Drosophila melanogaster: one gene and its partner. The protein of the gene in region 2 purifies or fractionates together with the protein of the main gene of each other region. This does not show direct contact. Each region holds a gene or a part of one and is shown on either strand. Other genes may lie near its edges. The genes, in order: Uba1 and ben.

Evidence for each region.
Region 1: the proteins of ben (region 2) and Uba1 purify together in Drosophila melanogaster (affinity purification with mass spectrometry, with the first as the bait; one large-scale study listed by BioGRID). This does not show direct contact.

Annotation. Positions count from the first base shown.
Region 1 is NT_033778.4:9,691,495-9,695,419, forward strand, and holds the start of Uba1 (ubiquitin activating enzyme 1), read right to left. Parts: upstream 1,835-3,925; 5' UTR 1,547-1,834; coding exon 788-1,546; intron 210-787; coding exon 1-209.
Region 2 is NC_004354.4:13,994,691-13,998,615, reverse strand, and holds the start of ben (bendless), read right to left. Parts: upstream 2,272-3,925; 5' UTR 2,093-2,271; intron 2,001-2,092; exon of another isoform or gene 1,819-2,000; intron 522-1,818; 5' UTR 456-521; coding exon 1-455. UniProt on the Drosophila melanogaster protein: Catalyzes the covalent attachment of ubiquitin to other proteins.

The DNA of each region.
Region 1 (3,925 bases), on a different chromosome or scaffold from region 2:
AACTTGGCGATCCTCTGCTGCTCCTCCCCGTCGGAGTTGGTCAGTACCACAACGCGAAACTTGCGCAGGAACTCCTCGGTAAGCGGCCCCGTGTGCGAAACGGTGCGCACATAGTTGTTTAACTCGGCCAACTGGGCGCAAGAGGCCTCCGCACGATTCTTGCCGATATCGGCTTCCGTGAGATAGAATTGCGACGACAAGTCATGGAGCTGCAAGACAAACGAATAATCATTAATATTATATATCAACGGTGATGAAATTAGCAGACGGGAGCCATGACTAACAAAGGAAAATTGGTTCTGTGCCGAGTGTACAGCAAAGACATATTTGTCATTAGAACAAAAAAGTTTTTATGATACAAGAAAACTTTAAATTGAAAGGCTATTAACTAAATAATTGATATATTACGGTTTATGAGAAACTCATAGATCTTAAGTTGAATCTTTCAGTGCATAAAACAAAACCGAATGCGTTGAGCAAAGGGGAATGCAAACACAACGGCAGCGAGCGATGCGCATACGGTTGTCCCGCTCACACACTTTTCGCATGGCGCAGACATTTTGAGGCAAATAGAAAAAGAAGGAAAACCGAATTACACACACAAAACGAATTTTTTGCAAGCAAATAGAGATGTTAACCTAACCTTATTTCGCGCGAAGTCTATGATAAATAAATCAAATAAAAACTGAATGATTCACTAAGACCAGGGATGCCAAGTCAGCCTTTCCGGGCATTTCCCGCGTCCGCCTGGAAAATTATCGATTTTTTCTTCGCCCCACACACATACCCCACAAGTTGCTGTGTCATGCAAGGTGATCGATTTCACGCCGCCCAGAATCACATTCTTGGCTATCTCCAGGCCGAGTCCTCCAAGTCCCGACAGAAGGATATCCGAATTGGCCATCCGACGCATCGCATCGTGACCCAGGACGTACAATTGGCGCGAGTACAGCGATTCATCGATATCTCCGCCGGCGGCGGCACTGTTTCCAGCCATGTTGCTGCTTCCTTCCAGTTGTCGGTTATTAGTGCTGTTATTACTGTTATTGTTGCTGGAGCTGACGTTGTTGTTGCTGTTGCTAGTGGCGGATGCACTGGAGGAGGCTTCTTGCGATTCTATTGTGGTGGTGTTCAGGTAATTGCGCTTCTCCGGCCGCTTGCTTCCTTCCTTTTCCACTGCTGACGAGGTACTAACGTCGTCGCCGCTTCCTTGGCTCTGTTTCAGTTTCTGCTTTTCGGCTCGCTTCGCCGCAGCATTAACGCCGCATGTGTCAGAGGTAGACGACGATACGCACAATTCCAGCTGGTGCTCGCTAGTCGTCTTGCTCTGGCACTTGCCCGAAATGTCAACGCCGCCTGCTTTGTCGTGATTTTCGTAGTTGTTGCTGCTACTGCTGCTCGTTGCTCCGCCGGCTTCTTCCTCTTCCATTCCCATTGCCCCCACTCCGTCACCCAACAACTCTAAACGCCTTTTTTTGGCCAGCGGCGAATGGTCACTTGAGCTGCAGGCTGGCGAATCGGCCATCAATTGCTGACCGCTCGACATAGCTTCCTTGCTGAAATATTGGCAATCGAATTTCCCAGTTGCGGCTGCACCGCTCGCCCTCTCTCTTTCGCACACACGCACACTGCAGAATGCGGACACACGCACACGGATGGACACACAAGAACGCTATTTAGTCCGGAAGTCAATTTCCCGTGGTTTCTGACTCGTTCCAGGACAGCGGATTCTATTTGTGGCCGAATTTCTAACAACGCACTCCCAAAAATACAGAACACGCACGATCGAGTTGCAGTATAGAATTCGCAGTAGTGTGGCCGCGGCTCTTGAAATTGGCAAGCCTGCCCAGTGTGACCGACCTGTGTGAATTGGAGGTGGCACAATATAGATTTTATTGCGATGCTATCGATATTTCCGCAATTGGTTAGTTAGGTTTCTTTTCTATATAATAACGCCCAGATTAATAATCCAATTAATTCACATTATTTTAATAATTAAACAGACGGCTTTCATTTTTATTATTCTATTATTTGTAAGTTGGCCAAGTAAAACCAAATGAATTTACACAATTAAAATTGGTAAGCGGGACAAATAAATCAGATTCAAAACTGATTTGCAATACTCCAATTAGCAAAGAATAGGCAGTGGGTTTAAAGCCCAGCTAAGCGCAGTTAAGACTTAAACCTTTTGTGTCACTAACTTATCTAAATAATATTTTTTTGGAGATCTGGCAGGCCTGAATAGTCTAAGAGGCGGTGTTGGTAAACACAAGTTTACCGCGTATTCAGGATACATTTGAAATCGTTTATGTTTATGTTTTTACTACACCGACTGAAATATTAGATTTTGTTAGAGTTAGTTAATTCTTTTTAAACTTGAAAAAAAAAACGGTTCGGGTTCAAAAAATACAAGCTCGTTTAATGAAAATATGGCTCGCATTTTCAAAAATTTGTTGATTTCAATTGACATTTTTTTGCTATGTAATGTTCGAAATTTAAATGTATATTGGTAATATATTTATTTGATAAAATTTAAAGTGGGTTTTAATTTGTTTCAAACTGCTTATAAATAGATGATAACAGACTTCTGGGTCATTACTTTATTTTTCATAATTGTGGTGCAAGCACAACCCTGATATCTTGATATTATTCATTATAATAATAATAATTATTCATTATAATATAGCTTGGCTTCCCCATTATAAATTCCTATATACTTTGTACTGGTCAAACTTAAAAGTAACTTATACATGTATATGGCTTAAACTTGATATTTTTGAATTATGCCATTTAATAGATCGTTCTTATTTTTCTAAACAATTCAAAAATTGTGTTCCCTTCTTCTATAAATAAAGCAATATTCACAATATTTTGAATAAATAAAATATATTGGAATATTCGTTTTTGTGAGTGACATAATATCGATTGAAAGTTAATTTAGCAAATACATATTTCAAACGTAGAACAACCTCTTAATAGATGTGTGTTCAAAAAACTTAAATTTAATAATTCTTTACTCTCCGATTTCATCAACTTCTAAGCCATTAGCTCGAAATTGAAATATATACTTCAATGAGTTTGCTGGTCATCAATCTGTCGGCACTTGAGGCAATTATCCTGGCCCAAAAACCCCGATCGTGGCACGCGCCCCTCGGCAGTTGTCCCACAAACCAACACCAACTGACCCACGGCGAAGTCCTTCGGTGTCGCTTGGTCCTGGCCGGGTTCAATATCCTTTGAGAGCGGCTAATCTATTTTCGGTCGGGGTTCCCTTTCTGTTCTGTGCAACGGTAGTCGAGCATGAAAATGCGTAAATTTCCACGAAAAACAGAGAGCTATCCTATACCAGTTTTCCGAGCGGCGGGGGTGTGTCCTTTTCAAGTGTTGAGAGCGTGCCATTAGGAAAATGCAGTACGAGGGGCAACAGCTGCAGGATCTAAAGCCCGGATCTTGTCGCACAGTTGCGTAAAATGCATTTTAATTTACGCCTACAGCTGCGCGAAATGCTGCTCCCGTTTTAGAAATTCCCCCCTCCCTCCTCCGACGCTCTAATTTTAGTCCGATCTCGATAGGATCGAGAAACTAGCCGCGGACTTTATCGCGTGCGGTGTGTTCCACGTCCTTGTCGCGTGGTATAACCCGAAAAACACAAATTCCTGCCAAATTAGCATACTGATCCTGCAGCGAATGAGCGGGGGTGTCTGCTGCCCATCTGTCCTCCAAATATTCTGCATCGCGTGCCCCCGAAGAGATATAAACATGCATACGTATGTACATATGTGGAATGCACTCCGCCCTCCCTAATTAAGCACATCACATATGGCCACGCATCATCCCTATGCAAATATTCAACCATTAATCAATTGGGAATGTAATTTGAATATGAAAAGCCGCTGAAAAAATGGCTGGCACTATTAATTTCGCC
Region 2 (3,925 bases):
CAGTCTTCGACGGCATATTTCTGGGTCCACTCGCGGGCATTGCGAATGGCCTCCGCCTCGTTGACCTTCCACAACTCAGCCACATCGTTGGCCAGCGGATCGTCGGGATTGGGTGCACTGAGCAGTGCCTGAATGGATAGCAATATGGTCCGGATCTGCAGGGCTGGACTCCACTTGTCCTTCAGCACGTCGAGGCAAATGCGGCCCAAACGATCGATGTTCGGATGGTAGATCTTCGTGATGAAGCGCACTTTGGGCGCTGACATTGGATAGTCCTCCGGTAGGAACAGCTCCAGCTTGAACACGCCGCCCTCGAAGGGCGAATCGTTCGGTCCGGTCACGATCACATGGAAGTAACGGGCATTGTTCTCATCGGGAATGGCATTGATCCCAGGCACTGGCTCCTGCATCAAACGTTGAGTCTCCTTGATGATGCGACGTGGCAGGCTGGACATCGTTTAGCTGGTTCCTTTTACGCGGTGAACTGGAAACGCGGGTTGAGTCTGGACCTTCTCGTTGAGCTGCAAACGAGATCGGAGTGAAGTTAACCAATTAAGTAGTTCCTCGGTATCATCCACTATCCACTCAACGTTAATTAAGACTATAAATTAGTATCCCTAATGTTTACAGTCGTGGTTTCAACTGTGAAATTAAACTAATTACTAATTTAAATAAGGGCTCAACTACATGTATCGGTGAAATAGTAGCATTAGTAAATTGGAGTTTCACTTGGTTTTCTTGGGGAAGAGCGTGGCAAGTCAAAGAGAATTTTCCTTTTTGCAGCTCAAGGTCGTTCTTTATGGGGATGCGTGTGTGCAGGGTTGGGTGGATTTTGGTCTGATACGTGGCTTTCACTTTCCCCAAGAAAGTTTTACTACAGAATTTAGCATGCCACAAAGATGTCTCTATGTGGCTAAAAAAAAAAATAAACTAATTCAAAATATGTTGTATATTTAAAGATGTTTTCAAATTGTAGTACTTAATAATATTTATATTGAAGTATATGAACGGAATTCAAAGTTATTAACTTGATTCTGGATATCTAGACTATATTGTAAACCAATATTTTCAATATTTTCTGGATTTATTTCCGTTACACTTTTTGCGAAGTTCAAAATAAATTTCTGCTTGTGTAAGTCAAAGCCCACCCACTATTGCCAACTCCTTTAGCGTGACCTTGCGGCTCCTTTAACTGTTTACATTTCCCAGACACACGGAAAATCAAGTAAAATAAAGAGGAGAAGGGGAAAGAAAGACGCAGATAAACCAGAAACAAAAGGCAATAAATGAATGCCCCAAAATTTCCAGAAATTGTATTGCGAAAGCAACAACAACAGCAACGAAAAACACTCGAAGCAAACAAAAGAAATTGCGTTATTAACGCGAAAACAGCAATAATTTAACCATAATGTGCGGCGTTTCGCTGTTTTACCAACTTATTGATTTCCCTTTTGGGTGACAAATGCACGTAGTTCCGCAGAGGAAGAAGAAGCAGATTGGACAGGAGGAATGCGGAGGGGGAGAAACGGGGTGAACCGCTTGAAAAATCAATAATGTTGGCAATTAAACTACAAAAAAAAAACCAAATAAGATTTTTCTTTTTTACAAGCAACAATTTCGCTTGCATACGCACACACACAGACACAGCGAGTCACGCACCCACGCACACAGACAAAATGCAGACAACGCGCACGAAAAAGACAAAGGCGAAAAGAGAATATGCGGATGGGTGAGACAAAGAGGGCGAGTCAAGAAAAGAAGAAAAGCAAACGCCGCTTTTTTGGCGAATTTAAGTTAATAGAAAAAAACGGCGAATACTTGGTGCGAACGCCGCAATTATTATTTTTCACACACACACACATATATATTCGATTTATCAACTTTTACGGCTTTTTTCTTGCTCTTCTTCGATATTATATTAAATTTTATCTGCTGCCTCTGCTTCTTCTGCTGCTGCTGCTCCTGCTTTTTTTTTGCTGCTGTTGTTGTTGTTGTTCTCACTTTGGTATTTTTTCGGGCATTTACAACATTTTTGGACAAAAACAATGGTTTTTAGATAAAGTATGCAACTTTCGATAAAACACAAACTCACATCGTAACAGCGCCAAGTTATTGCTGAACTTTATTTGCAGTTATGGCCGATAACTTCGTTGGCAAACTGATAAAATTCGATTTTGCAGGCAGCTCCACCACAAAAATTATGAATGTCGAACACACTCGAAAAAAAATGTAGCCGTTTGGTAGTGTGTGTGTGCGTTGCTGTGACTAACGTGCGTCTGTGTGGCGTGCGTGTGAGCGGCAATGTCAAAATGACAGGGTTGCTAGGGTGCCTAGATGTGAATTCAATTTTTTTGCAACACGTTTGCACCTCCTTCTCAGTTTAATTTCAGTACAAATATATCTTTAAATATTTTCTTTGCTACTCATCTTGTTTTTTATCCCATTTTTCCATTTTTGCGCAGGTAATTTTATTGTTCGCACTAGTAAAAACGCATTTTCGGTGACAACTCTAGCGCTTAGCGGCTGTCAAATAGGACAGTGTTTCATAGCAATCAGCTCTTCGGCACGCTACAACCCAAGGTTTTGGAGCGCTTAGCTTTTTTCTGTCAGAAATTTTGATTGGAAAATTGGCGGGACAAATCCAGTTGAAAGAAACACGAAAGAGAAGTAACAAAAAGTGTAAGTTCCCGGGAATAAGCAATAAATTTAGTCGGGATTTATTTAATCGACGACTTTGATCTTTGTTTTCGTTGCTTAAAACCAATGCTTTGCATTTTTAATATTCATCAGATGTAACCTAACTTCATACCTAAGGTAAATACATCTAAAATTCTCGAGAAATTTGGTCATTTATGTCAGCACTTTATAAAGCGATATTTGAACTGCATATTAGCACTTATTAATATGGTTTTATGTTCTTTTTAACATCATAACCATGTGTTTCCCAAAAACTTTTATCACAATAAGACTTATAATAAAAAAAAATTGCATGCAAATTAAAATAAATTTTATTTCTTTAGTATTATTCGATAGCAAATTAATGATTAAAAAAATGATTGTACATAGGTTTCGTTATTTAACAAGTCTAAAAGGAGCCGGTACAGGATTCCAATCAGACACGTGCAAAAACATAAACCCAAAAAGCGAGATAGCAACAACAACAAATTGTCAATTTACTGTAATCAACATTTATGCGTTTTTAAAAAGAGAGGCTGTCCGAACACACACACACAACTGCGCACTTGCACTCACACCCACACACCTCGAATGCAATGCCCAATGGACGCACAAGAAGCCGAAATGAGCAACAACAAAAACCACAAGGCGGAAGGCAGAAAACTAAAATACAAAAAAAAACAAGCGAAACCTCTCGCTCGCACACACACATGCTATTTACCATTCGTATTCGTTCGATTGCATAGGCCGGTTGCATGTGTGTGTGCGAGTGTGAGATAAAAACAAACACCAACTGCAAAAGGGCAACAAAACCAACAACAGCAAGACAGCCATAAGCATTACACACACCGCACACAAACACACACACACACGTGCGATCTCCGTTTTTAGGCTGGCCAAACCAACAACAACGACTGTAGTCCAGCCCACAAGTGAGAGCGAGAGAGAGCAACCTGCCTCTTTTCTGCTTTGCTGTTTATCTGTTTTTCTGCTGCAACTGCGCTGCTTTTCCCTACGCAGTGCACGTGTGTGTGTGTGTGTGTGAAAGTGTGTGGGTTGGTGCGAGAGGGGATGAAAGAGCAAGAGAGGGCGGAACGGGGGCGACCTTTATTCGCTCTTGAGCTGCAGCTGTTTTTAGTGCCTTCCTCTATGTATTTTTACGCTCGATATGGCCAAATTCTAACCGCTACAGCTGATCTTCAAAGGAATGTGATAGAAAGTGAGGGGGGAAAGGGGAGAAGAAATTGAT